4 linked regions of the Elephas maximus indicus genome follow. The protein of the gene in region 3 purifies or fractionates together with the protein of the main gene of each other region. This does not show direct contact. Links are inferred from orthologs where the notes say so. Each region holds a gene or a part of one and is shown on either strand. Other genes may lie near its edges.

The links.
Region 1: the proteins of AMBRA1 (region 3) and DNAJB1 purify together in Homo sapiens (affinity purification with mass spectrometry, with the first as the bait; 3 studies listed by BioGRID). This does not show direct contact. The link is inferred for Elephas maximus indicus from reciprocal best matches to the Homo sapiens genes AMBRA1 and DNAJB1.
Region 2: the proteins of AMBRA1 (region 3) and BAG5 purify together in Homo sapiens (affinity purification with mass spectrometry, with the first as the bait; 3 studies listed by BioGRID). This does not show direct contact. The link is inferred for Elephas maximus indicus from reciprocal best matches to the Homo sapiens genes AMBRA1 and BAG5.
Region 4: the proteins of AMBRA1 (region 3) and BAG2 purify together in Homo sapiens (affinity purification with mass spectrometry; 3 studies listed by BioGRID, with this or other methods). This does not show direct contact. The link is inferred for Elephas maximus indicus from reciprocal best matches to the Homo sapiens genes AMBRA1 and BAG2.

Annotation. Positions count from the first base shown.
Region 1 is NC_064821.1:33,095,007-33,102,196, forward strand, and holds the start of DNAJB1 (dnaJ homolog subfamily B member 1), read right to left. Parts: upstream 3,002-7,190; 5' UTR 2,934-3,001; coding exon 2,723-2,933; intron 1,214-2,722; coding exon 633-1,213; intron 366-632; coding exon 135-365; 3' UTR 1-134. UniProt on the Homo sapiens protein: Interacts with HSP70 and can stimulate its ATPase activity. Stimulates the association between HSC70 and HIP. Negatively regulates heat shock-induced HSF1 transcriptional activity during the attenuation and recovery phase period of the heat shock response.
Region 2 is NC_064828.1:117,819,920-117,827,634, reverse strand, and holds the start of BAG5 (BAG family molecular chaperone regulator 5), read left to right. Parts: upstream 1-4,710; 5' UTR 4,711-4,803; intron 4,804-6,163; coding exon of another isoform or gene 6,164-6,277; exon of another isoform or gene 6,278-6,311; intron 6,312-6,551; exon of another isoform or gene 6,552-6,647; intron 6,648-6,722; exon of another isoform or gene 6,723-7,026; intron 7,027-7,715. Other genes in the region: cytochrome c oxidase assembly factor 8, read right to left, coding at 6,164-6,277. UniProt on the Homo sapiens protein: Co-chaperone for HSP/HSP70 proteins. It functions as a nucleotide-exchange factor promoting the release of ADP from HSP70, thereby activating HSP70-mediated protein refolding.
Region 3 is NC_064825.1:102,061,083-102,068,713, forward strand, and holds the start of AMBRA1 (activating molecule in BECN1-regulated autophagy protein 1), read right to left. Parts: upstream 3,013-7,631; 5' UTR 2,798-3,012; intron 1-2,797. UniProt on the Homo sapiens protein: Substrate-recognition component of a DCX (DDB1-CUL4-X-box) E3 ubiquitin-protein ligase complex involved in cell cycle control and autophagy.
Region 4 is NC_064819.1:122,938,390-122,945,339, forward strand, and holds the start of BAG2 (BAG family molecular chaperone regulator 2), read left to right. Parts: upstream 1-3,933; 5' UTR 3,934-4,459; coding exon 4,460-4,572; intron 4,573-6,950. UniProt on the Homo sapiens protein: Co-chaperone for HSP70 and HSC70 chaperone proteins. Acts as a nucleotide-exchange factor (NEF) promoting the release of ADP from the HSP70 and HSC70 proteins thereby triggering client/substrate protein release.

The sequences.
Region 1 (7,190 bases), on a different chromosome or scaffold from region 3:
CTGGGAAACATTCAGCAGTACGAAAGCCCTCCCTAGGCCTTCCCCGCCCTCTTGCGGAACCACAACTGGTGGAACAATCTGGAAATCCTTGAGCTCTGAAAGGTCCCTAATCAGTCCTTGGGGAGTGCACGTGGCTATATTGGAAGAACCTGCTCAAGTACGGTTCTTGATGTCTGGGGAATCCTTTCAGGGAAGATCACTTCAAACTCAATAATAAGATCCCCGCGTTTCTCCGGTGTTTTAGGAAGGGGGAGGCCTTCTCCGGGAACTTTTCGCCGCATGCCAGGCCTGATGACGTCTTTGAACACGACGGGTATGGTCCTGCCGTCCAGAGTGGGGACGTTCACCGTGCAGCCACAAAGAGCCTTAGAAAACAAAGGGACGGTATTAGATAGAGAATAGCTTAAGAAGCTTAATTCCTACCCAGGGACTGTTTGCTGTAAGGAAGACTCATTAGGCCTCTGCAACTAAGAGCCTGCCCTTAAATCTACTGGGTTAGCAGCATGGAAGTCATGGAAGAATAGGGCCCTGGTCAGTCTTTTTCATGCGGCACCCTGAGCCTGGCCCACAAGTAACTGTGCAGCAAACACTGCCTAAAAAGCAGCCCACTCCCATCCTGCCTAGTGCCTTACCTCCCGAAGGCTGATCCTGGCTGGGTAAATGACGTCAGAGCCATCTCTCTTAAAGATATTGTGCGGCTTGTCCTTTAAAACAAAGACGATGTCAGCTGGAATGTTGTTGGAAGTCTGGTCTCCTTCCTTGGGGAAGGTGATTTTGGTTCCTTCTTTCCACCCCCTCTTCACTTCAATGGTCAAGATTTTGTCTTCATTGCGAATGCTCTTTCCATCGGGGTTCAGTCGCTTGTGGGAGATTTTCATTTTCTTGGTACAGCCGCTGTAGATCTCTTCAAGCGAGACCCGAAGGTCGTGGGTGACGGGAGGATCTTGCTTCTTTCTGGTGGGCTCCTGGGTGGGGCGGGAACGGCCAAAGTTCATGTTGGTGAAGCCACCCATGCCCATGGGGAAGCCAGAGAACGGGTCATCGATGTCCATGCCTTCTTCCCCGTTCCGCTGCCCAAAAAAGTTATCAAAGGGGTTTCGGCCACCGAAGAGCTCAGCAAACATAGCGTGAGGATCTCCATGGAACGTGTAGCTGAAAGAGGTACCGTTAGCACCACCGCTGCTCCCGCCACTGGGACCGCCACCCTTTAGGCCTGAAAAGCAAAATCAGAAGTTGTTAGATAGCTGACCAGGACGTTCTTTTTCTAAGAGTTTTCCTTAAGGGGAAAAACCCTGGGAACCATTGAGTAGGAGTTGTTTTTTTTTTTTTTTTTTAACTTGTCAGGAAAGAGCAAGGAAGAGCCCCAAACTTTTGCCTCCTGATGCAGCAGCACAGACAGACCCTCCATGGCACAACAGAAGGATGAGCTCATCGGGCATCTCTAGGTACCTGCCACTTCTTGGCTAACCCATCCTCCCCAAAACATTACAAGGATTCACCAAGAGATGAGGTGAAAAAAGCATGATTTAAGGTAAGCCTTCAATAAGTATTTACTCTTAATACTTTAGAGATAGCGATGCCAACGAAGAACCCTGATTGCACAGTGGTTAAGCACACTCCAGCTGTTGACACCAATATCAGAGGTTCAAGCCTATCAACAATCTGCTTTGCAAACATTAACCCGTAAAAACCCGATGCTGTAGAGTGAATTTGGACTCATAGCAGCCCTACAGGACAGAGTAAAACTGCCCCATAGTTTCCAAGGTGTGGCTGGTGGATTCAAACTTTTGACCTTCCGGTTACCAGCTGAGCTCTTAACCACTGCATCACCAAAGATTATAGCCTTGGAAACCCTATGGGGCAGCTCTACTCTGTCCTACAGAGTGCTATGAGCCCAAATCCATGGCAAGTGGTATTGGATGCTAATGACAATGTGGAGAGTAGAAGTGGAGATAAAAAGTACACAGATTTTTCAAATGCTCACCACCACACCCTGGCATTAGTTAACACCATCTTATATAAAGTCGATTGATTTCTTGAGACTAGAGTCCAGAAGCCAGGCTGAGTCATCAACGGGCAAACTGACAACAAGAAACCCTTTCTTGCCGAGAAGACTATGCAGGGAGGCCAGGCCTAGGGGACTCGCTGCTCTTGCACGGCCGCAGTCGGTGATGGCTGCTTCCTACGTGCCTGGCACGGCTAGGTAAGCACTTTACAGGGATTACCTCACTCCACCCTCACGGCCCGGGAGTGGGGTCGGTGCCAACCGGCGCCCTCATCTCCGGTCCCACCACCGGCAGGTTGTGCCCGGAGCGCTCTGAGGCGCCGCCCCTCAATCCACTGCCCGGCCGAGCCCAGGTGGGCTCAGGTGAACCTGCGGGCAGCGGCGCGATGAACGAGCTCGGTCTCCGTCCACACCGGCACCCCCGTCACCCCGGGCCGCCAGGGGACGTGGGTGGCGGCTCCCAGGGAGTGGCAGCCCCAGACATGCTAGAACCTTCTGGGTGAGAGGTTTGGCCAGGGCTCCTCCTCCCATCAGGCGGTCGCCAATCCGAGGGCGGAAGCCCGCGGGGACAGACAGAGGGGGCTGCTCGTCCTCCGTGCCGGGGCGACCCCGGAGGATGCTGCAGGGGGTCCGTCGCGTAGGACCGCCGTGCCTCGGTTTCCCAGCTTGCCAAACGGCGGGGGCGCGCCCCTGCCGCGAGCGCACGCACGTACTCACCTTCCTCCCCGTAGCGGTCGAAGATCTCGCGCTTGCGCGGGTCGCTGAGCACGTCGTAGGCCTCGGCGATCTCCTTGAACTTCTCCTCGGCGCCGGGCTCCTTGTTCTTGTCTGGGTGGTAGCGCAGCGCCTGGCGGCGGTAGGCCCGCTTGATCTCCTCGTCCGAGGCGCCGCGGGCCAAGCCCAGTATCTGGTAGTAATCCTTGCCCATGGCCCCCACCTACGGCCTACCGCCCCGCTCTCGCCGTCCCCCGGCTCCGCCACCGCCCGGTCCCGGACTCTATATACCCGTCCGGCGGAAGCTTCCAGAGCCCGCCAGGCCCCTCCAGAACCTTCCGCCACGCCCCCCGCGCCGCACCGGCCAATCGCCGTCGCCCAACCCGCGACGCGCGAAATCCGGGGCGGGGCCTCGCTGCCAACGGTCGCCCCGCGCGGCCACGCCCCTTCCCGCTCTCCCCACCCCCTCGGCAACGCCTACCGTGGCGCACGCCCCCGACGCCGGAGGCCCCGCCCATCCTTTGGGAGATCCAATCGCGGCCGCCTGTACCTTGCGCCCGGTGACCTAGCTTTCCTGGAGCCCCTCTTCATGCCTGGGTCAATAGGTTACTGATACCTTCTGCCCCAGGGCGGTACGCGCCGCTCCGGGAAGCGGCAGGGCCGGGCAGGTCACGCTCCCTTGAGGCCCCGCCCCTTTCTGGCAGCTTTCACTCTGCCTGTGGGAGATCTCACACGGTTTGGGCCTGGTTGGGTGGGGTGATTCTGGGCAGGTTGGATTCCTGCCCAGGTACTTCTTTCTGTAAGGTGGGAATAAAAATACCCACCTGCCTGGTGGCGCAGTGGTAAGCGTTGGGCTGCTAACCAGAGGCCGGCAGTTTGACTCCACCAGCCGCTTCGTGGAAACTTTATGGAGCAGTTCTACGCTATCCTACAGGGTCGCTATGAGTCAGAGTTGACTGGATGACATCCCGTTAACCGGCCCTTTTCTCTCGGCTGTGGGAGAATGCAACGGGGTGCCCCAAGACTGTCCCTGTCCTTACTATGCAGGTCCCTGTAAACTGAGGTAAGGATGGCATCTTTTCCTGCCTAAGCGTCCCGACCGCCCCTCATGCCTTGCACTCAACCCAATTTTCTCAAGAGCTGTGAAATCCGAAATTGTCTTGTTCCTTGGTTTTCATGATTACTGCGCCCCTCCCCCCCACCTCCTGAGTCTGTGACCTGTGTGATCTCCACCAGGGCAGGGATTGAGTCCTGTCCCCGCTGCGTCTCCCATACTTGGAAACAGTGTTGGCATGCTGCGGACGTTTCATGAATATTTCTGGGTTTTTTTTTTTTTTTTTGCACCTGCTTCTTTTCCTCTCCCCACTACCTTTATGATTTGGGGGTTATGGGCCTGTCATACACCTGTTTCCTCATCCTTAGGTGACCACATCCTATTTGGTCCTGAGAATTTGTGGTGCCTGTGATTAAGGACACATCTGATGGGGAAAGCAGGTACAGAAAAGGGTACCACCTGAGAGGGGCATAGGGAGGAAGGGACAGGTAGTCACTCGGAGGGGTGGGGGGTCCTGGAATAACTGCTTGGAAGGTCAGGGCATCACAGTACTAGCTCTGGAGCCAGATGACAGGGTTTGATTCCCGGTTGCACAACTTCCTGTCTGCCCGACCTAGGGCTGGTTACTTAACCGTTCTAGGCCTTGGCCTCCCTATGTGTACAATGAGGATGGCAGTTGTATCCACCTCATTGGGTCTTGAAGTTTACAAGAGTTGACAGCTCTGGCATAAAGGGAAGTACTACCTGCTTTGGTTAGTGGTAGGCTGCTGAGCGTGCCCCCCTTCTCAGTCAGGACTTCAGCAAAAGCTTCTGGTGACTGCCTAGCTTGTGCAGGCTGGGACCGCTGAGAAAGAAGACCATTGGCCTTGTCCTGCTGCCCAGCAAGTAGATTCCGTATCTCCCTGCCCACTCACTGACTCCAAGATAACCGTGCCAGCAAGGACTCTGGACTGAGACATATACCACAGCAGGGGTCCAGAGCCAATGCGGGGAAGAGAATTCAAAATTCAAAAAGTTAGGTAAATAAATAGCAGGAGAGTTGTCATCACGGGGAACAAACCAGAGCTGCCTGGACTTCTTTACACTTACACTCTAGTATTTTATAATATTAATTTAATGTAGAATTACAAACATGGTGGCACCATCCTTTGTTAGGCCTCCAAAGGTATAACATGATTCTGGGTAGGCCTTTCTAGTTTTACTGATGTTTCTTTCCACTCTGGTGGACAACCCTTTGCCAAAAACATCAGGCAAGGGGTATCCTTGTGTTTTGGTGGTAACCTTAGTAAGCCTGGGACATGATCAGGAAGTTTTAACTTAGAAAAAACACAAAACTCTCCTTAGGGCTGTGGGTTTTTGACTGGGCATTTCAGAATATTACTGGAAAAGTGGCCCCAATGGACACCTTAAGTAAGAGGGCGGGTTTTGAGTCAGTTCACTTCAGTTCAAATCCTGGACCCATTATTTACTTACTTACAGCCTTTGCAATCTTGCACAAGTTGCTTGACCTCTCTCCCCGCTTTAGGGCCCTCCTCCATAAAATGAAGAGTAGATTTTTCCTGCTAGGGTTGCTATGCAGACAGCTTGAGAAGGGCCAGGTAGTGAACATTTTAACAGCGAGTGTTGACATGGCCTTGCTGTGTGCCAGGCCTGTTCCAAGCACTCAAATGTGTATTATTTAATCCTTACATTGTTACCTCCATTTTACAGGTGGGGAAACTAAGGCTCCAAAAGGTTGCATGACTTGCCCAAGGTCACCAAAATGCTGCGGTGTACAGTGCTTAGCACACCGAGTACTTACGGCAAGCGCTTTGCTTGTGTGACATGTGAGTCAGATGATGAGAAAGCTTTAGTTAAAAAAAATTGTGTTACCACTCATCAATTGTTCAGCTGTTCATCAAAAAGACTTTAAAAAAAAAATTAATATCACCCGTAAGTACTGTGTTCCTTTAAAAAATCACCGATACGAGATCAAATAGTCAACAATTACTTTAAGAGAAAGATGAGAATGTAAGGGGGCAGGGAAATTAGATTAATGGAAATGAAACAACCAGGAAGGAAATTGTGAGAATTTTCATGCATTAATATAACCAATGTCACTGAACAACTTGTGTAGAAATTGTTGAATGGGAACCTAAACTGCTGTGTAAACTTTTACAAAAAAACACAATAAAATATTATTTATTTAAAAAAAGACCTTTAAAAGCAAGATGGCCACACAAACCAGCGATCCCACTCCTGCAAAACCAAACCTGTTGCTGCTGAGTTGATTCCCACTCATAGCAACCCTCTAGGACAGAGTAGAACTGCCCCATAGATTTTTCAAGGCTGTAATCTCTACAGAAGCCAACTGCCACATATTTCTCCTGCAGAGCCACTGGTGGGTTCAAACCCCTGACCTTTTGGTTAGCAGCTAAGTGCTTAACCACTGGGTCACAGGGCTCCTTAATCCTACTCCTGAACGAAAAAAACCAAATCCGTTGCCATTGAGTTGATTCCAACTCATAGCAACCCTCTAGGACAGAGTAGAACTGCCCCATAGATTTTCCAAGGCTGTAATCTCTACAGAAGCCAACTGCCACATATTTCTCCTGCAGAGCCACTGGTGGGTTCAAACCCCTGACCTGTTGGTTAGCAGCTAAGTGCTTAACCACTGGGTCACAGGGCTCCTTAATCCTACTCCTGAATGAAAAAAACCAAATCCGTTGCCATCGAGTTGATTCCAACTCATAGCGACCCTATAGGACAGAGTAGAACTGCCCCATATGGTTCCAAGGAGCGCCTGGTGGATTCGAACTGCCGACCTTTTGGTTAGCAGCCTTAGCTCTTAACCACTGCACCACTAGGGTTTCCAACCCTACTCCTAGTGAAATAAAAACCTTCGTTAACATAAAAAACTGTGCACAATTGTTTATCGTGGCTTTATTTGTAATTGCCAAAGGTTGGAATGCTTTCACCAGTGTGGTGTAGGGAATTAGTTAGCCATAGTCTTTGTAACTCTCACCATATGACTGGGTGCGACTATGGAAATGAGGTACTTGTGGCTCACCAAGGGGATTGGATAGCTTGTTAATAATGTTAATAAGGTGTGTGGGACCCTTGAGGGAGTAACCAAAAAAACCAAACCCATTGTCATCGTGTTGATTCCGACTCATACTGACCGTATAGGACAAAGTAGAACTGCCCTGTAGGGTTTCCAAGGAGTGCCTAGTGGATTCAAACTGCTGAAGCCTTTACGTTAGCAGCCATAGTGCTTAACCGCTATGCCACCAGGGTTTCCCTGTAGGACCATGCAGATAAGGTATATGAAACCATAATGAGTGGATTGGTCAGTTTTGCCGTGCTGCTAGGCTTAAAGGGAGACACAGAGAGAGGGAGACAGGAGCTGTAACATGGTAGACAGCAAGAGATGGGGGC
Region 2 (7,715 bases), on a different chromosome or scaffold from region 3:
AAGTTTCAGAAGACCTCTGATGCCACTAGCTTACACCCAGGAATCAGAAAGACAGGTGAGTCCTGCGGTTGTTGTTGCCACTCCGTCAATTTCGACCCACAGTGAGCGACAGAGCAGAGCTGCCCAGAGGGTCTCCTAAGCTGTGGTCTTTAGGAAAGCTGGTCACTACCAGGTCTTTCTCCCACGGAGCACCTGGGTGAGTTCGAACCTCCAACCTTTCTGTTAGCAGTTGAGCGCTTGGCTATTGCACCACCAGGGCTCCCTGAAGTCTTACTAAATAGATATTATTTAAAGTTCATAGTACCATCTAAGACACATCTACTGGTCCCACTCCATCTGGAACAAAGAAGAATGAAGAAAACCAAAGACGCAAGGGAAAAATGAGTCCAAAGGACTAATGGACCACAACTACCATAGCCTCCACCAGCCTGGGCCCAGAACAACTAGATGGTGCCCGGCTGCCACCACCGACTGCTCTGACAGGGATCACAACAGAGGGTCCCGGGCAGATTGTGAAAAATGTAGAACAAAATTATAACTCACAAAAAACATCAGGTTTACTGGTCTGAGAGAGACTGGAGAAACCCCTAGAGTATAGCCCCCAGACACCTTTTTAACTCAGTACTGAAATCACTCCCAAGGTTCCCCCTTCAGCCAAAGATTAGACATGTCTACAGGGTCACTATGAGTTGAAACCAACTCACTGGCAACAGGTTCTTGGTTTGGTATAGGGCAATCGATCACACACGTGAGGAGTGTGCTTCATGGTTCAATCATGTATACAACACTAAATGGACACACCAGCTCAAAAGCAAAGACGAGAAGGCACGAAGGGACTGGAACACTGGATAAATGTAAACAGGGAACCCAGGGTGGAGGAGAAGGGGCGAGTGCTGACATATTGCAGAGTTGGCAACCGATGTCACAAAACAATTTGTGTATTAATTGCTTAATGAAAAACTAATTTGCTCTGTAAAATTTCACCTAAAACACAATTAAAGAAAAAAATTGATAAAATACATGGCAAAAAAAAAAAACTAGATAAAAAGGCAGACTGGGAAATGTATTTGCAACAGATAGAACAGACAAAAATATTGGTATCTGTAATAAAAAGTTTCTCTGAATTAATAACAAATAGAAAAAGGGCAAGGGCGAGTCATTGAAGATAAATTTTAAAGGGTCAACAAACATACGAAAAGACATTCAAACCTGCTAGAAGTCAAGCAAGTGAAAATTACACAAGGAAACTGCAGTTTTAAGGCACCCAATTGGAAAAGCCGAAAAGGGGAGGAATCACATCCGGTGCTGTCAGGGAGACAGGCCTTCCCTCGTTTCTGCAGAAGTGACCCGCAGCACCTTTTCTGAATGTGAAGGAGCCCTGGTGGCGCAGTGGTTAAGCATTCGGCTGCTCACGGGGTTAGCGCTTCAAATCCACTAGCCGCTCCACAGACGAAAGCTGAGACAGTCTGCTTCGTAAAGATCACAGCCTTGTAAGTCCTGTGGGGCAGTTCTACTCTGTCCTACAGGGCCACTATGAGTCGGAGTTGAACCCATGACAACGGATTTTTTGAATGTGATCTGACCATATCTAAAATGTTAAAAATCCATTCTTTTTGGCACAAGAATTCCAGTTTGGAAATCTATCTTACGGGAAAGTAAACGCAACAGTATGTAAAACCATCAAAAAAAAAAAAAAAAATGACCTCTCGATGCCAAGGGCTTGTATTTTTGTTCTTTGTGATCCAAAAATTGCTAGAAAATGATTTTTAATTCCTTAACTTCTGTGTACAGGACTATAACACATACATTCGTTGTGTCCATGCCTTACAGACTGTACAGCTTTGAGGAAGTGACTTTACTGTGCCTAAATTTACTCATCTGTCAAGTGACGATGCTAAAAGTAACTACTTCATAGAATTGCGAAGGTTAAATGCATTAAAATGTATAAAGTTCTCAGAACAGTGCATGCAACCGTTCAGTCAACGTCAACTATTACTATGAATGTGACTAAAACTCAGGACTGAAAATAAACATTACTTCATGAAACGTAACCAGTGGTTCTCAAAATTGGAGGGTTATTTGACTCACCCTCAAAAATCCTGATGTCCAGGCCACACCCCAGACCCACTCACAGGAGAGCCGCAGGGGGTGGGCCCCAGTTCTGTGTAAGGTCTAACCAATGGTTCCAAAGCACAGACAAGTTCAAGAACCAAGGATGCAAACTACACAGACAAGGAACAAGCTGCAAACACTTACGAGCTGAGTTTAAGTTGGGTTTGGAAGGGAGAATGGTGCCTAACTATCATATTTCTGTTAAAACTCGTATCCAGAGATGAGAAGTGGGAACAAAGCGTGCAGGTACTGAAAGCCAATCTCTTTAACTCAAGCAGAGGGCAGAGCCAAGAATTAATGAAAAACAGACGCAGTGTTAAAATGTGTATCTACTTAGATAACGAAAACAGTATAACGACCTGTCACTTTTGGGAAGACCTGACATTTACACTCAGCTCCTGAAAAACAGCAATCTCTCCCTGCTGCAGAAACTTAACTACCTAGAGAAACTGCTGTGCACTCAGGAAGCACACAAAGGTGGTGACGAAGGAAATACAAACTGCCCTACAGCAGAAACTGTTTACAGTCCATCCAGGATCCAGAATAATGCAGCACTCAGATCCTACATAAAAAACAACACGAGTCATCGCTACAGTTGGGCAGGTTCTGACTCACAGGCCAGCCTCCGTTTTTTACTGGGTCATCAGCATCACAACAGGTGTGAGCGGTCTAGCAAGTGCCCAGCACTGGGTTTGCCTGTAAGTCTCATCGTGAGGATCCAACCCAAGGTAAGACCGATTTTACCTTAACAAAAAGCCTGCATGACAACAAGGAAGCCTTGTCTGGGTGAAGTCCTTTTTTTTGCCCACTAGCTCACAATATTGGAGCCCTGGTGGCACAGTGCTTAAGCGCTATAGTGATCTATGGCTGCTAACCAAGAGGTTGGCAGTTTGAAACCACTCCTTGGAAACCCTATGCGGCAGCTCTACTCTGTCCTACAGGGTCACTACGAGTCTGAATCAACTCAACGGCAATGGGTTCAGTTTTTTTGGTTTGCTATGCAGGAGACCTGGGTTCAATTCCCGGGCAATGCACTTCATGTGCAGCCACCACCCATCTGTCGGTGGGGGCTAGCATGCTGCTAGGACGCTGAACAGGTTTCAGCAGAGGAAGACAGACTAGGAAGAAAGGCCTGGCAATCTACTTCTGAAAATCAGCCAACTAATCATGGGGATGGCACAATTCCATCGTGTATGGGGTCACCATGAGTTGGGGGCGACTGGACAGCAGCCAAGAACAACAGCAACAGTTCACAAAATAGGGAAGTGTGCCATAAGTGGCTAAGGCACTCTGCTGCTAACCAAAAGGTTGGTGGTTCAAACCCGCCCCGTGGCTCCACAGGAGAAAGATCTAGAGATCCACTCCGAAAAGATGGTTGTTGTTGCCGTTTGGTGACATTGAGTCGGTTCCAACTCATACCAACCCTATGTACAACAGCATGAAACAGTGCCTCGTCCTGCGCCATCCTCACAATCGTTGCTATGTCTGAGCCCACTGTTGCAGCCACTGTGTCAGTCCATCTCATTGACAGTCTTCATCTTTTTCGCCGACCCTCGACTTTACCAAGTGGGAGATTACAGAAAAGATTTTTACCTGATAAGATGACAGCCTAGGAAACCCTAAGGAGCAGTTTTACTCTGTCACATGGGGTCGCTATGAGCCGAAATCCACTTGACAGCACCTGACGACAACAAGCCCTCATTCTGGGGAAAGCTCTTGGTTGGTCTGTAGTTTGCTTTCCCAGAGCACACTCTGTTGTGAGCACACTCCTGCCCAAAGACTGAGTGAGACGCTGCTAGGCTCCTGCGTCCTAGGAACACAGAGAGGGCTGTGGCCACTCTGACAGGGAACTGAGCGGGGGGGGGGGGGGGCTGGGATCTGGCTAAACAACTGCCCTGGTGGCTCCTCGACTAAACTATAAACTAGACAGAACTTCAGGGCCAACGTTTATGAAAGTGTGTTAAGAGCCTGAGACCAACAGAAACGAACATCTCCAGGCAGGCTCACTTTGGAATTCTTAATTGGTTTTTTTTTTATCCTTCTTTAATTACTGTTTTAAACAAGCTGTCCAGCCTCCCTCATTAGCACCTTGGCAAATGAAGCGCCTATATATTTCCTTTACGTATTTTATCTGCAGCCTATTCCCCACCGCAGTCAATGTTTCCATTTAACAGCTGGAATCAAGCCCCTCCCCCACCCCGCAAAAAAAAAAAAAAAAAACAAGCCCACTGCTGGGGAGTGGATGCGGACTCACGGTGACTTATAATAGGATTTCCAAGGCAGTAATCTTTCGGAAAGCACACTGCCACATCTTTCTCTTGTGGAGCAGGTGGGTTTGAACCCATGTTTCAGTTAGCGGCCGAACTCTTAACCACTGCACCACCAGGGCCCCACTCAAAGCCTAGGCCTCCCTTGAACAAAATATCTTTCATAACAGAGCAATTTATAATTATAAAAACTGTCTGCCATTCTTTCTTGTACAGACTTTAATCTTTGTGGATTTTTGGCCAGCATACACGCACCTCATTTCCAAACCAGAAAAACTCTTCACCGTGAAGTCCTAGAGAAAAACAAAGGTCGCCATCGCGTGAGGAAAGGTACTAACAATCTTAACGACGCCAAGTCACCAACGAACAGGCAAAGATACACGAGCTTTAAACACGGAGAGCAGCTGTCCTCGAGAATAAAAAGGTAGGCACAGACTTGCTGGCCGACTCGGACTCGGCACACGTGATGACAGTCCTACTGGTCCACATGCACCCTGGTCCCCGCACCCAGACCACGGGGTTGACACGGGAACTGCGGGCCACGGGCTCACTGCGGGCCACCAGGTCACCTGCTGCTCTGAACCCTGCCTGGAGCTCAACTCACGCCACAGTGGGGGAGACGTGAGGTGCAGGGCCAGGCCGCCTGGAGGGGTGCAGGGTGGGGGTCGGTCCCGAAGTGTGCAGGGTGGGGGTCGGTCCCGAGGGGTGCAGGGTGGGGGTCGGTCCCGAGGGGTGGGGGGCTGGGGGGTCGGTCCCGAGGTGTGCAGGGTGGGGGTCGGTTCCGAAGGGTGCGGGGCTGGGGGTCGGTCCCGAGGGGTGCAGGGTGGGGGTCGGTCCCGAGGAGTGCAGGGTGGGGGTCGGTCCCGAGGGGTGCAGGGTGGGGGTCGGTCCCGAGGAGTGGGGGCCTGGGGGTCGGTCCCGAGATGTGCAAGGTGGGGGTCGGTCCCGAGGAGTGGGGGGTGGGGGTCGGTCCCGAGGGGTGCAGGGCTGGGGGTCGGTCCCGAGGGGTGCAGGGTGGGGGTCGGTCCCGAGGGGTGCAGGGTGGGGGTCGGTCCCGAGGGGTGGGGGGCTGGGGGTCGGTCCCGAGGAGTGGGGGGTGGGGGTCGGTCCCGAGGGGTGCGGGGCTGGGGGTCGGTCCCGAGGGGTGCAGGGTGGGGGTCGGTCCCGAGGGGTGCAGGATGGGGGTCGGTTCCGAAAAGTGCAGGGTGGGGGTTGGTCCCGAGGGGTGCGGGGCTGGGGGTCGGTCCCGAGGTGTGCAGGGTGGGGGTCGGTCCCGAGGTGTGCAGGGTGGGGGTCGGTCCCGAAGGGTGCGGGGCTGGGGGTCGGTCCCGAGGAGTGCAGGGTGGGGGTCGGTCCCGAGGGGTGCAGGGTGGGGGTCGGTCCCGAGGGGTGGGGGGCTGGGGGTCGGTCCCGAGATGTGCAAGGTGGGGGTCGGTCCCGAGATGTGCAAGGTGGGGGTCGGTCCCGAGGAGTGGGGGGTGGGGGTCGGTCCCGAGGGGTGCGGGGCTGGGGGTCGGTCCCGACGGGTGCAGGGTGGGGGTCGGTCCCGACGGGTGCAGGGTGGGGGTCGGTTCCGAAAAGTGCAGGGTGGGGGTCGGTCCCGAGGGGTGCGGGGCTGCGGGTCGGTCCCGAGGTGTGCAGGGTGGGGGTCGGTCCCGAGGTGTGCACGGTGGGGGTCGGTCCCGAGGGGTGGGGGGTGGGGGTCGGTCCCGAGAGCTGCGGCTCGGACGCCTCGTCCCTGACGACCACTCCTTCCGGTCCAAGCTCTCGTGCGCCCCGCTTACCCGGCTGGGCGCCGCATCCCTGCGCTCTGGGGCGAGCTGGCGGCGGTGGCCAGCGAAAGCGCGGCAGAGCTGGGGGAAGAGGGCCTTACTCCTGGGCCCCAAGGCCGCCATCATTGGCGTCCGCCCGGCTCCCGCGGCGCACGACAGAGGCGCGACGGCGTCAGAGACCGCCTTACGGCAGTGTCGCAAAGACTAAGGCGAGGGGGAGCGCGGCCGACCGTGCGCTTTCCCGGCGGTTCGGGGAGGCGGCTGCGGGCACCGCGGGGCTGTGGGCGAAGGGGTGACGGGCGCTCCTCGGCCGCGGCCTCCTCACGCTGTCGTGCACGCGGCTGGCGGCGGGCCGTGGGGGGGCGCCGCGACTGAGGGACGGCTCCCCGGGGCTGGGGGCGTTCGGCCCGGGGCGGGGCTGCGGCGGCCGGGCGGAGGCGGGAGCCGCAGAGGCTGCTGAGGCGGCGGCCGGAGCGCGATGGAGCGGGCGGAGCAGGTGAGCGAGCGGGCGGGCTCCCTCCCCGCCGGCCGGGCTCCCTCCCCGCCGGCCGGGCTCCCTCCCCGCCGGCCGGGCTCCCTCCCCGCCCCGGGCCGTGCCGAGCGCGCCGCCCCCTCTGCCGCGGCCCATTGTGAGGTCAGGGCCGGCGGGCGCGTCGCGGGACCCGGGCCGAGGCCCCCGGAGCGGCCGCTGCGGCCAGTAGCTGCCGCCGCCCCGCCGGCCCCTGCACCGGCCGCCCCGTCCAGACCTAGCCGGGAGGGGCGAGAGGGATGCAGCTCGGGGCCCCGCTCCGGCGCCTCACCCCGTGAAGGGCCGCCCGGCCACCGGCCAGCTCCGCGCGGGAAACCCAGGCGCCGGCAGCCCCGACCGGCTCCGGGTAAAGGGCCCGAGGGCCGGGCGGGGACGGGGGCGGGGAGGGCGGGCCGAGCTCTTCGCGGGAAGACGGGCTGCGCTGCTCACCGCCGATGCCGCGTTCCGGGGGGTGTGCTGGCGGGGGAAGGGGCCCGAGCCCCCCGAAGCCGCAGGCGGCGCCTCTGCAGGGCGACTAAAGGGCGGGTCGGGACCGGGCTTGGAGAGGCCCGGAAAGGCAGGAAGACGGATGTAGAAATGGGGACTTCGGGGGGTGTAGGCCCCTCCGGGGCCTGCCTAGGGGCTCAGGTCCTTTTGCTCTGAGTTACTTTTTCTGGAAACCAGACATAGCTGTCTTGGAGGGATGGGGTGCTTGGGTGGTAGGGTTTATGCTGCGTGACTTTCCCTTCCGTGCATTCCGCAGGTGCCCTGCTCATTCTAGCGTTAACACCCCAAGTATTTGTGTTATGCCGAACTGCTTGCATCTTATAAAGGCAGACGTAGGCGCCTCTCTTTTTACGATGGCTGAAACGCGACATCCGCAGGCCCCGGGTTCCCCTGGACGCGGCAGTAACCACTGTTCCTAATAGCTGCCAGGCTGGGGGGAGGGAGTTGGTATGTCACTCTCCTTGCTGTACCTGAGCATAACTGTCTTCTGGGTTGCGGTAGGGACAAGCCCCTTCTTTAAGTATGTCTTTTAATTAATGTGTGATTGCC
Region 3 (7,631 bases):
AACAGAAAGTTCTCTTTGGGTTTATAAGGAACAACTGGAGAAAGAAACAAGAATGACTATGATTAAAGGAACTTCAGATTTTTTGTTTTTATAAACCAAACCACTGAGCAAAAAAAAAAAAAAATCTGCATCCCATTCCAAAATAACTCTATTGAGGCTGAGGCACATCTTGGAAAAAGAGACCTTGGTGTGCCGACGACAAAACTTTTTCTCCAATTCCTTTAAGAGAAGCAAAGACTTTATCATATTATGGGAGGAGTGAGACAAATAGTCAACATAATCTGTCAACATTCACGAGGATCCTCAAACACCATAAATGTTTTGGTTCAACATTAATAAGCAGCATAATTAATAAGCAGCATAAAGGAATATGGTCAAAAAAATAAGTTTCTTAAGTTTCCTAACACATATTGAAAATATTTTGAAAATCATACAGTATAAAAGTGTAAGTTGTTATTCTGTTAATAAAAATAATAATTTTCAAGTAATACACATAACTTATCTTTTTCAAGTGATATACATAATTCCATTCCAGGCCAAATTCTACAGGATATTCAAAGAAACCAGCACCTTTAAGAATCCCCAAGAACTGTCTTGCTAAAAGAATAATTCAATCACATTCTGAACCTGTACATTTCGGAAAGGAAATCCCACAAGACAGCCCACTCTGACACTGACAGAACAAAACAAGATTTGATCAAGTAAGTTAAAAGTGGAGTGAATTTCTATCCTAAAGCAGAGAAGGGGGCAAGACGCTGATAAACTCTACCCCATAAGCCCTACCACCAAATTTCTTATCTTCCTCAATTCATCTTCAAGTACTTTTTACAGAAACATAAAACGTTGCTAATATTTCTTCCCGACACTCACAGCAATTTCCACTTACTTTATTTAGCACTTAGAAGCCCTGGTGGCGTAGTCGTTAAGTGCTACAGCTGCTAACCAAAGGGTTGGCAGTTTGAATCCGCCAGGTGCTCCTTGGAAACTCTATGGGGCAGTTCTACTCTTTCTATAGAGTCGCTATGAGTCAGAATCGACTCGACGGCACTGGGTTTGGTTGTTTGTTTTTTATTATTATTATTTAGCACTTATAAGATACCACTAAGATACTACACGTAACTCTAAATTCTGTCCAGAACCTACCAAAGATTAATGGACAATATCGCTTCCTTCTCTAAGTTCTCTCCTCTGATATAATTTCTCTTCTACCATAAAGCCTTCTTCTTCAACGAATACACATTCTTAACCTAACTTCCCAATCTAGATTCTCCGTATAGTCTGGTGGCTCTTCATTAATCCTTTTCAGTAAGCACTGAGATCCTGGTGACTAGAAAAGCACTCGCGATCAAAGGCCTTTCATTTAAATCTTGCTGACCCCACAAAAAAATTAGAGGGGAAAAAAAAAATCTTTCCAACGCTCACACGAGAATGCTAAAATTGTGCTGGGTCAGAGACTTGTATATTTTCCATCCAAGCACCAGGGATTTAATCAGTTCTCCCTTAAAAGGCTTCTCCCAATGATTCTACATACTATGAGAACTTATCCGACCTAGCTTGACCTCTACGCTGATTATTTTTTTCAACAAAAAGTTACACAAATTAGGATCATAACACCAAATTCAATGAAAATAAAACGAGTAAGAATAAGTAACTCCCCAAATTTCCCAAGTTTGGAGAGAAACATAACAGAGTTCCCAGAATGTTAACCTTCAATTTAAATACCTCAATATTTGCATGATTCCTGCACACAGCCTTTTACCTCTAGTATATGCACTGACCACTAATCAAAAACACGAAAAAGTATTCCAAAAGGGACTCCTTAGGTTTCCTTTGGATACTTCCCGGAAGGCAAACCCTCACAAGGCCAACCATCTGATTTCAAAATCTTGACCATCCTGTCAGGACACCATAGTTGAAAGATTTCCACTAAAAACCGGCTGAGGGGAAGGAGGAGAAAAAAAGCATCAACTAGAAAGCAAACTGGACAGCAAACAAAATTATCAACCAAGAAACAAAAAGAAACTGTCATTGCTATTCTCGCTAAAATAACACAGACTTTGAAAAGCAAAACCAGCCAAAAGATCACATGGTCTCTTTACTTCTGAAGTCACCGGTAACAGAATTTATATTCCTAAGAAGAAGGAACCACAGACAATCAAATGACAAATCACTATGTGCATAAAGGAGTACCTGGTAAAACGAAAAAAGGTGAGCTGGTAAATGACAAAAAAGTGACTTACAGTGCCTTCAACATCTGCAGGGGATATGGGGAAAACTCACGTCCCAGACCTCAGCCTCAGTTTCCCTACCCAAAAAAGAGGCGAGAAAATGACACTTCGCTCAGAGGAGCCAGAGGGCCTTGTTCCACACGCCTCCACCTACTCAAGGGTCCCTCCAAAGGCCGGACTCAGAGGGGGTCCCCAGTGCAATTGAGTCATGACACCCGGAGCCTTAGGAAGCGGGAAAGGAAAAAGGGAGGAGGGTCAAAGTGCGCAAATCTTTAACCATTCTGGAAGGCGATTTTCCCCCGACACAGGGGGCGCCGACACCCACCCTAGACCCAACATCCCCTCCCTACCGAACCACACTGGGCTGCCCCAGCATCTCTCCCTCCTTCCGGCTTCTCCTTCAGTTCCCTGCCGCCCCTCCGGCCGCGCCCCCGAACGCAGCCCGACAGCCCCTCCTCTGGCGGAGTCTCGGCCGCGGGTCCGCCCGCCCACCCGCCGGCGCCAAGGTCTTCTCAACCCCGTGGCTGAAGGATGCCGGGCCGGGCCTCCCAGGCTCCTCCCGGGCCTACCTGCAAGGCGAGTGGGGGCTCGGTTTGCAGCCCGGCGAGCAGGCTGAGCCACAAAGAGGAGGAAGGAATAGGCAGGAAGGACGCAAGAGGTCCGCTCTACCGACCGGCGGAAGAAAGCGGCCCGAGTGTGGAGCCTCGCGGGTAACTCAGCCCTCGACCGGGCGCCGCCACCGCTCAGGAGACATCAAGCAAGAAGACGGCGCAAAAGATCACCGAACACACGAACGCCCAGACATTAATGGAGGAGCGCCTGAGCTATCGTTCAAGGCACCAGAGCCGAGCGCCGGAAAACAGCTCCGTGGCTTCAAGGTCCGGCTCCCGTCCAAGGCATAAATAAACAAGTCCAGATTCTAAACCTGTGCTTCTGCCATTTTCTGTGTCGGTTGCCGGCTGTTTAAGTTGTGTAGACACCTGGAGTTTTTCTTGAGAGTGTTGAAAATCAAATCATGGTGCAGTAACACTTGTAGTCTAATTGTAGTTTAGCTATACAGTTCGACTACCTTATGAACTTAGAAAAATATTTATCCCAATTGAGCAAATCACCTCTTTTGATCGTTAGTTTTCTCACAAAACAGTGAGATGAATGATCCCTGAAATCTTCTCCAGCTCTAACATTATGTGATTACATGGCTTTCCAGTAATACATTCACCAAAAATATGTATGTATTTATGGCGAGAGGAAGAGAATGCGAATCCAGATAGAAACAAAGTAAATACAAAAGCCCTTAAAGTCCCACAAACGTAGCAAGAAGCTGAGAAAACCCACGGGTGTGTCATCTGACCTTAAATCAGGGGAAAGCCAATCCATGGACCGCATTTTATTTTCTTCGACATGTCTAGATACTGATTTACCTGGCACCTGGTGGCGTAGTAGTTAAGAGCTCGACTGCTAAGGAGTTCGAATCCACCAGCCGCTCCTGGGAAACTCTATGGGGCAGTTCTACTCCGTCCTATAGGGTCCCTATGAGTTGGAATCCGCTCGAGGGCAAAGGGTTGGAATCCATAGGTTGGGGTTTTTTTTAGCACAGGGACCATAAAACCACAGGTGTGGTTCTTACATAATGATCAAAAGTCTCTGGGATCAGATGATAAAGTATGTTGACATTTTCATGCACAACAATGGCCTGTTTCTGAAGTCTCTTAGTACCCAAATATGCTCAGCACAAGTAGGGATTTATATGTGCATCCTGAGTACAACTCAGTAAAACACATGGATCACTACAAATATGGATTACCAAGTGTGAACAGTAATACAGAGTACCCTACCTCCTCCTAAGGAGTGAGGAGACTTGGAAGGGCATAAAAAGAAAATAAGATAGTCCCAGTCCTTGAATAATTTATAATTTAATTAAAGTGAAAGAACACATCCTTACAGCATTAATTTTATTTACAATTTATTGTTACTTTCTGTACTTTCTTCTTTTAGTCTGTGAAAATACTTAGGGACAACCCATAAAAATAACACATAGACATGAGACCAGCAACCATAACATGCCATACATAAGGACAAGACACTGGGCTTTGGTTGTCTACCACTGTTTTAGAGGACTTTTAAAATGAGTAAACAGTATAGTAGCATTAATGAAAGTCTTAAAAAACAACAACTTAAAAGTCTGCCTCCAAAATGTATAATTTTAATTTGTTCATGTTCCCATGAAGTGCTTGGAAATATCCATATATAATTTTTAGAAGTTTAATTCAAGGAGAGATACAATTACGTTATAATTTTTCATTATATCATCTCCCCTATTAAAACTTATTAGTTTTTTCTTTAACTGTTGCACAATAGTCCACTGAGGGGATACACTGATCATGCTCCCCATTGCTGAACATTTGTGTTATTTCCTTTTTCTGTGTAATAGGTATTGCTGCACTTAGAAAGAGGCAGCTATAACCCTATTATTTATTATTAGTCTTTTTTGCACATAAACAAATAATAAGAGTAATCAAGGAAGGCAGGGAATTCCTGGGTGTCACAAAGAGTTAAGCACTTGATTACTAGCCAAAAAATTGGCAATTCAAACCTATTTAGAGGGGCCTTGGAAAATTGGCCTAGAAATCTACTTTCTACAGGACAGAGCCTTGAAAACCCTGTGGAGCAGTTCTGCACTGCACACATGGGTGCCCTGAGCTGGAATCCATTTGACAGCAATTAACAACAAGGGAGGTAGAGGTTTATTTCTTTGTCGTATAAAAGAAATTCAGAGATGCACACCCCAGGGTAAGTATGGTGTCTCAGTGTCAGATACGAGGCTCCTTCTTATCTTATTGCTTTGCTATTAGTGGCTAAAAGTGGCTTTCACCTCAGATCCCAGATGTCTACTCAAGCTCCAGCCATCATGACCACATTCCAAAAAGCAGGAAGCTCAGAAGGAAAAGCACGTCTCCTAGCCATAACCACACATCTTGAAAGTAACACAGGCACTTCCACTTATATCTACTCACCAGGATTTAGTTACATAGCCATACCTAGATGAAAGGCAAGCTGGGAAGTAGTCTTTATCCCAGGCAGCCATTTACCCACTGAAGGTGGAAGGCACATGGATACTAAGTGACAGCTAAACAAGCAGTCTCTGCCACATTTCTGGAGCCAAATGAGGAGCTGGCAAAGAGACCTTTCTTTGCAGTCTTCCCAGAATTCCTAGAATACATGCTATAGATAAGCTTCCTTTTTTAGAAAGGTTTGTGGGGCATAATGTCTAGAGCTACACCCCTGATTCAAATTTGACCTAAATTACTACATTATTTTGGAACTTTTATTGCAGTAATAAAAGCTAAGAAACTGTAATTTCAAGTTTATGATAAGTTTTTGCTTTTTAAAAGCCAGAGACTTTTATTTTGGGAAAATCACCTGAAAGTTATGCAAATATAAATCTAAAATGACCATCGGAAAATGGAGATATTTGAGAAACTGAGACAGCTATGGAGCTATACTGTTCTGTGAGATCATGGAAAATACGGCTTATTCTGCAGGCAGAATCGCATTCCTAGAGATACATTTTCTTTAGAGAACTGTTTCTTTTGAAGTGTGGATTTAAGCTTCCATGTGACAACAACCGACTGTTTTGTTCTTATGGAGATGTCTGTGTGGATGGAAATATTGTCCATAAGAGAAAAGGAGTTGAAACCCCCAAACCTACAGGATACTCCTCACACTGGAGGAAGAACTTTAAAAAAGAAACCAAGTGGGTAGAGGTAAAGATCATCCTGGGTTGTACCACTGATGCCCTAAATATTGGTGTTAATACTCAATAAGTCATTATTGTATTGATTGTTCATTGTATAGCATTCTCCAGGTGGAGTCATAACTTTAAAGGTAGCATAGTGCATTCTCTGAAGTAGGGTAACCAAATGTCCTGTTTGCCCAAGACTGAAGTGTTTCCCAGGACATGGGTCTTTCAATGCTAAAACTGTGACACCCTCCTCTGCCTCCCCACTGCCCCCCAAAAAACAAACAAAAAACACTACCGTGGAGTTAATTCTGACTCAGAGCAACTGTGACAGTTCTGGGAAAACTGGGATAATTGGTCAACCTAAGAATGGACCTTGCCATTGTCCATCACATGGAAAGAATTTGGAAAGACTAAACCAGCAAAGGAACCCTGGTAGGGCTGTAGTTAAGAGTTCAGCTGCTAACAAAAGGTCAACAGTTCCAATCCACCAGATGCCCCTTAGAAACCCTACAGGGCAGTTTTATCTGTCCTATAGGTTTGCTGTGCGTCAGAATCGACTCAAGGGCAACTGTTTTTTTTTTTAAACAAGGAAGAGGATTGGGCATGTTAGCCTAGAGGAATTGCCTGGGGGAGAGAGGGAGGGAAAGGGAGGAGACTCTGCTCCCAACCTTGACTCTGGGATTTGGAAACTTGCTCTACTGCATTCTGGGTGGTAGCAATAAGGCTGAACCTAGGGTGAAATAACTCTGTAGCTGTTATGGTTAGGTGCCCATCGAGTTGGTTGCTACTCACAGTGACTCTGTGTACAACAGAATGAAACACTGCCTGATCGTGCATCACCCTCACAATTTTTACTGTGTGGGCCCATTGTTGCAGCCACTCTGTCAATCCATCTTTTCGAGGGTCTGCCTGTTTTGTTGGCCTTCTACTTTACCAAGCATGATGTCCTTCTCCAGGGATTGGTCCCTCCTGATAACGTGTCCAAAGCACGTTAGATGAAGTCTTGCCATCCTCGCTTCTAAGGAACATTCTGTCTGTGCCTCTTCCAAGACAGATTTGTTGCTCTTCTGGCAGTCCATGGTATCATGTGTCATCTTATTAGGAAGTTCAGGAAGAGGGTTAGGCCTTGGCTTTAAGAGCAGCCAAAATGATGAGCCAATTTTTGATTTTGCTATTACAATTATATTCTGGTCCTTTGTAGCCTGGTCTCATCGCACTGTGGGGTAGTGCATATACTTCGGGCTGGAATGGTAAAAGTGGAAGCAGTGTAGCCATGTAGGAGCAACACTGGGAAGGGGAGAGATTCCAGAACAGCAGGAAATCACTGGCAGCAGAGTGATAGGAGGCTCTTCCTTCTTTGTAAATATTTATATAGGATAAATTCACGCGTGGAATTTATTAATGGATTGAAATCTATGAACACTTTAAGAATCTAGAGTGACAAAGAAATCAGCTCTTCTAAAAAAGACAGCGCTCTATGTAAAAGGCATGTCATCAGGAGGGACCAAATGCTGGAAAAAGACATCATGCTTAGCACAGGACCAGCGAAAAGGAGGGAGATCCTCAAGGAGATGGACTGACAAGAGTGGCTGCAACAATGGTTTCAAACATACTGTCATGGATTGAATTATGTCCCCCCAAAAATGTGTGTATCAACTTGG
Region 4 (6,950 bases), on a different chromosome or scaffold from region 3:
GGTGGGTCGAGACCAATTGATGCGTCTTAGATGGCCACTTGCTAATGTTAAAGTTAAATTTTTGATAGCCTGTGAGATTTTGCTGTTTTGTGGTTTTGCTTTTCTATTTGTTTTAAGATTCATATGCATCACTTCAAGTCTTTTTGGAAATAAGTGACGTAGATTTTTCTTTTTAATGTTGAAATAAGTGATTACTTGCCAGTTGACTGCCATCCCTAAATGAAAATAACTTGCAAGGTCCTTAGCACATTATATTCATGTATTTTGAATTTCATTTTGAGGTAATATCCAGATTCTCATGTTTCATAATACTCAAATTTTATGGAAGAAAAACTTCCAAGTTATCCTAAGTTTTTCCAGTTTACTTTTCCTTTTCTTTTTGAAAAGGTGAATGTGCTTGATGAGATTTATATAAAGCACATGTTTATTAGCTTTCTGCCCTAAGTATTAAAATTTATGTTTTTTAATGCAGATGTGGAATTAGAAGAAGCTATTAGAAGAAGTCTTGAGGATATGTAATTAAAGATATTACCACACAACATCAAGTGGCCTTGAAGAGATTCTCAGGATGAGTTCTAGAGTTTGTTTTCTAAAGGACACCGAAATCTACTAGCATAAATGTATTTGAGAATATGCTTTTGCATTCATGTATTCAGAGTCTGATATTTGCTTTGTGTTTTTGTGCTATTTGGCAAAAATGTTCAGAAGGAATGGAATATATATTAATACAAATATAAATCATGTATTCTAATGTAGGTATTCGTTTCTCAGCTAACTTCGAATGCATATACTTAGATTAAAATGATTTTTAAAAAATAGAAAAAATCTTGGCTATTGTTTATATATTTCTCAAATATGTGTTCTTTAATTTTATTTGTACTGTACAGATGATTCTGGTTTATTTTTTTAGGAGTGAAAATGAATAGAAATAAAGCTGCTCAATTTTTCTGTAAATCTTCTCACGTGGCATTGATATAAAATACATTTTGAGATCTTTATTTATAATTATTAGACCAGAGTAGTGGAAATTGATCATGTAAATAGATTAAAATTTTTACCAACAATGTCCCTTTTGGGTTTTGCTCAAATGTATATCCCTGCTTTAATTAGAGGAGTACATTGCTAGAAAAAAAAAAAAATCAATTTTTTTGAAATAATTAAAAGGAAACATTTTCTATTCCTTTTACCTGCTTAGACTTTTCTATGACTTGTATGAGCTACTGTTGAAGGGGAATGATGCTAAAATATTTGTGTAGAATTACACTTATTTTTAATAATCTTAGTCCTTTTTTAAATATATTTATGTAAACATAATATTCCTCAAAAAATAATGTAAGGCCTACTCAGGAATATTCTTCCTTAACTGTTTTAAAAAAATTATTTCTTATGAAAGTAGCTTCATTGTAGTTATTCATTGAATTGTCAATTTCCTGCATTTGGATTACATATTTAATTTTTAGATGTTGAGGCCCCATTGTGAATAGTAAAAATATTACATAAATAGCAAAGTAAGAAGAGCTCATGATACTACCTGTGTGTGTTTCATGTTTTTTGACCAGAAATCCTTTAGCATTAAAAAACTGAGTAGTAATTACTTACCAAACTTGAAAACATTTCTTTAAACATAAAGCTTTCTTTAAGACAAAAAATACCATGGCCAGAATTTTGTTCTTTCTCTGTAACACTGGATATTTTATTGTAAAGTGGAATTACTGTTTTTTTTTTTTTTTATTATTAACAGCCTTTTCAACCCACATTGAAAACCAAATTGTGTATTTCTTAAGATGTCAGTTCTGTTCCTCCCTGCTTACATTTTTTTAAAACACCATAGCTTGAGAATTTACCTGTCATCATTCTAAAATGACCACATTATGCTTTCAATTTGTAGGTTGAAGTGGTCAAGCAGGGCTCTAGGAGGTACTCATTAAGCCGGACTTTAAAGATACTTGCAAGAGCTTTCTAAATAGGAGCAGAAAAAATGGTCCAGGAAGAAGAGTGGTTTAGCAGATGTGGGGCAAGTGGAGACAGTAGCTCTTTGCCAGAGTTCCATACATGGGTGTGATGTACACTGATATTCCATTAATAAGCTTTTGTGGTTTGTATGGTAGAGAGTAACCAAAACTTTTGAAATGACAGGAAAGGAATATTTCATCATGACCTTTAAGAAGAGGTAGTTTAATGTTTTAATTAATAATTGTCACCAATTGTATTTCTACCTGTAAAGCAATTAAAAGTCATTTAAAAGTACGTCATAGTTTAATTTAATTTAGACACAAGGAGAAGATATAATCAAGTGGATGACATTAGAGAAAGTCATATGGCTTATTTATCAAAAGTAAATGTTTCTAACATAAAGATGCTTTTCATTACATTATTCATTCATTCAAAGAACTATTGAATACCTACCATGTACCAGCAACTGTTCAAAGTACTCGGGATGTACCAGTTAGCAAAATAAAGCCTCCACCCCTCTGTGGAGCACACATTTGGGGAGAGGGGGTTGGATGGAGTTTTAGATAATAAGCAAGTAAACAAAACAGTATATCTGATGATGATAAGGGTGATGAAGGAGGGGCTTACTATTTTTAATAGGGTGGTCAGGAAATATCTCTCTGATGGGTAAAGTTGAGCAAAAGAAGGTGAGGGAGTGAGCCATGCAACTATATATGGGGAAAAGTGTTCCAGGTGCAGTGAAAAGGTCTAGAAGTGAGTTCAGCATATTCAAGGAAAAGCAAGAAGGCTAGTGTGGCCGAAGCGGGATGAGCTAGGAGGGCAGCAGATAAGATTGGAGAATTGAGGTGGGGAACTGTGCATGGAAGGCCTTAGGCCTTTTTAAGGACTTGCTTTTTCTCTCGCATGAGGAACCATTCTAGGTTGCTGAGAATGAGTGGTATGATCTGCCTTATTTAAAAGAATTAACTATAGTTGCTTTATCAAGAAGACATGAGATGCAAGAGTAGAAGCAGAGAGACCAGACAGGAGGGTACTGGAGCAATCCAGGTGAGAGTTGATGGTAGCCGTGGAATTGGGGAGAAAAATCTGGATATATTCTAAAGGTAGAGCTAACGGATTTTACTCATGGATTGGATCTAGGATATCAGAGAAAGAGTTCAGCATGGTTCTAAATTTACTTCATAGACTTTCACACCATTAACAAAATGTCTTCAGATTCCGAGCTTGTGTCACAATATGACAAAATATGTTTAATGAGGTCAAATAATCTCCTACACCAATAGTTCATTAGTATTTAGAATGAGTTCAGAGGGAATTTCAATCTGGGTTTAAGGGCCTTATGTTCAAGTATTAAATGGCTTTGATGTCTGATTAAAGGTTGTGATTCAGCTTTAAACGGTTTTGTCATTTTCTGTGCTCTGCACATTTTCGCCTTTACTGTATGACACACAGCTATAATAAGATGGGAACAAAACAAATTTTTCCTTTAAACAGAAATCGTTATACTCCCAGACCTACTCCAATCTTTTACCGACCTTTATGGTATCTCACCTAGTGGACTACTGCATCTTGCCATTGTTACTAGGAGATTTAAATAAGTTAAACATAAAATGGCCTTCATTGTTAATACCAACTATTTCACTCACTTCCTACAGGAATAATTTTTTTGAATAAACAGTAAAAACAAATCAATAAAAATTGCTTCATTAGAATGGGTGGAAACGAAGCAAATTCATCTTGCTTCCCATATCCAGCTAGACAGACAGGTGTGGTAGCTTTTTTTTTTTTTTTTTATAGGCTTAATGTTGTCTAGGCTGTGATTTTCATCTCAGGAAAGGGACGGGTAACAGGACAGGTCTGGACTGCCTAGGGGTTGTACATAAATGCTTTCAGCTCCCCAAAGGGACCATTTCTGCCCACATCAAAGGACTTTTAACTTTTTTTTTCCTTGCTGTGAATTATGGGTGCTGGGAGAAACTGAAAGAAGCCATCACTGAGCACTACACCCACCTGTGGGCGTTGGTTACTTTCAGGCTGCACCGAGCAGGGGGGTCCATTCCGGGGAAGGAGGCGGGGCGTTCTCCGCGTGGGCGTCGGTTGTTCCAGACTTCGGCGAGCAAAAGTACCAGCCGCTCGCGTTGTGCCCAACCCGCTGCCTGTGTCCGCCCTTCTGGGTTCCTTGAAGGCTGCCTGGCATTGCTCCTCAGGTCCCCTTGCTCTGCCTGCCTATCCTGGAGACCCGGTGACCCGCGAGTCCCTAACCACTTCGCTCCCCCCGCCCCACCGCCGCAGCAGCCCCCGAGCCCCGCGGGCGCCGCGTCTGTCCTTCTTTGGCCAAGCGGCAGCAGCAGTGCCGGCGCGTCTCCCGGGCCGTCCCCCGCGGGCGTCAGAAGGAGGCGGTCGCCCCGCGCGGTGACAGCGACGCCTGCGGCCCCGGGAGCGCTCCACTCGCCGCTGTCGCCAGAGAGGCCGGTGACCTCTTGGCCCCCCCGCCTCGGAGGCTCAGATGGCTCAGGCGAAGATCAACGCGAAAGCCAACGAAGGACGCTTCTGCCGCTCCTCCTCCATGGCGGACCGCTCCAGCCGCCTGCTCGAGAGCCTGGACCAGCTGGAGCTCAGGTGAGCGCGGCCGGCGGCGGCGGGGTTCCCATGCGGAGGCGGCCGGGGCCGGGCGGGGCCTGGCCGGCCGGGCGCCGTCCCGCCTTCCCGGGGCTGCCTGTGCAGCAAGAGCCGTGCTTGCTTGAGATTTGTTTTTGGTGGAGATGGCGCGGTTTTGTTTCTTGGTGTTTTTTCTCCTTGTCCGAGAGAGGACAGATTCTATTTAAGCTAAACCTGTGAGCGTGTTATTGGTGGTCACATTCTGATTCACGTGTCTGGGCGTTTGGCAGCGGAGAAAATACAAATCAGAAAAGATAAAAGTTACGATGACATTGTTTGAGATTAGGGACTGTGGCACTCCTGGTGAGCAGAACTTCTAGAACCTTCTTTGTGCCTCTACATGGTCCTTCCAAATGTTTCTAACTTAACACTTTTTCTGTTATGCGTTTTTAAGGGAGGCAACAGTTTAGTGTGGCCCCCGATATGAAATGATCAGTTTTGTTGCTCCAGAACGCTTTAGAGCAAAAAAAAAAAAAAAGGAATCCACCCAAAAGCAAGGTTTAGAGAGGAGTGGGACAGATGCTGGGCTGTGGGGTGAACGGTAGCTGGGTATTTTATGGAATAAAGACACCGCAGCTTCCCTTCCTCTGGTAACCCCGCATACTGTATTCAGCCATTCCCTTAGTCTCTAAATATTCATTGTGTACCTTCTTATATGGAAGTCACTGTGCTGACATGACACCTTCTTGAAGGTGCTAGTCACCGTGGCCTGAAAGCTTGAAAACATAGTTTCCCCTTTTACCTGATTAAGATTTCATTAAGTGATTAACCGCTCCAAGTCGGAATCGACTCCCCGGCGACGGTTTTTTTTTTTTTTTTAAGTAATTAATGCAGTGGTAGGCTTGTATAGAATTTCTGAATTTATAATAAATTTTGGCAATACTTTTTATTCCTTTAACAGTATATGAAAACTTTTGTTTCCTATGAACGTTTTGATCTGTGTACAGCTTTATGTACTTAAACGAAGATCTTACTAAGGCATACAGGAACCCCCCGAAATTGGACAGAGTTTTGTTTCACAGTTTTCACCAGGTTCAAAAAGGTGTATGTGAGCCAAAAAGTGTAAGAAGGGCTGCATGTATGTGTTTATCTCTCCTGATTAATATACCAAATCAAAAAGAGATGTATGTTTTCCAAGAAAAGTAATAGCCACAGTATTCTCTAAGCACTGAGGCACTTCCAACTTTCCCAAGAGTCAGAGAATGAGAAATTCTCCACGTACGACGATTTCATGAATGGCAACAGAGAAATCTGAGCCCTAAGCCAGGTTCTGAGGTTCTGCTCAGAATGAGACAAATGGAACAAGACAGAAACAATGCTTCTATGTGAATTTCCACAAAAATAGTAAACCTGACCCATTCAACCCAGAGAAAGTGGAGCAAAACTAGAGATCAAAGGCCTCAACGACTTTCTGTCTCTAAGAGTAATATTTCTCTCCATGCAGCAGTGTAAAAAGTAACTCACACCTCTCTCCTGGTCTTTAGAACTTTGAGAACATGTCTTCTGACTTTTCAGGAGTCTCCTCAATTCAGAAAGAAACGGTTTTTTCCTTAAAAGAATGAGGAGGGCGTGGCCCCTCCTTCAAGCTGAGTCATTGTCCTGAAACCAGAACTAATACCTCACACGTGGTGGGTACAAAAGTAGTCAAGTGTGCCTCTTTAAAAGAAAGCATCTAGTTTTTTGAGTATTATTATAGTCAGATGTTTGATTAATGTAAAATAATTACTGCATGTAAGTGATTAAATTACAACTTGCTTAATTAACCAGTGAGCTGAGGAGGAAGGACTACTGATTAATATGTGTCTTAATTGTTCATTTCAAGGACTTTTCTAATAATTCTAGACTTTTAAAAGCTCTATTTCTTCCTTTAAAAAAAGAAACGAAACTGAAAACTTAGGAAGTATTTCACCAGGTAAGAAAAGATAGAAAAAAATGCTGCCATTCCTATGAAAGTTGTTCTGAAACCACGCGGGGTATATTAGGTAGAGGAAAATGTTACCATTTTGTACTTAGAAGCACGCATTTACTATTCTCCAATCACACTGGTTCTGTAGATTGAGAAAGAAATTTCTTCCATATGAAACTGAAAGCAAGATTATGCCAAATGCTGTATGATTTGAATTACGAGCTGGTGTGTATGTTTAAAATGCTTTAAAATATTTGGCAGCATTCTACAAATCATTAAAGAATTCCATTTGTTTCTAATACTTTATCATGACACTAGCCTTTCTTCTTTGACTCCATCTCCTTTGTTCCTTCCTCTTAAAGAGGTAATTCATGTCTCTCCACGTTTTCATAACCAGTTCTGAACAGAGTCTGAATTTTTCATTTTGCAGTGG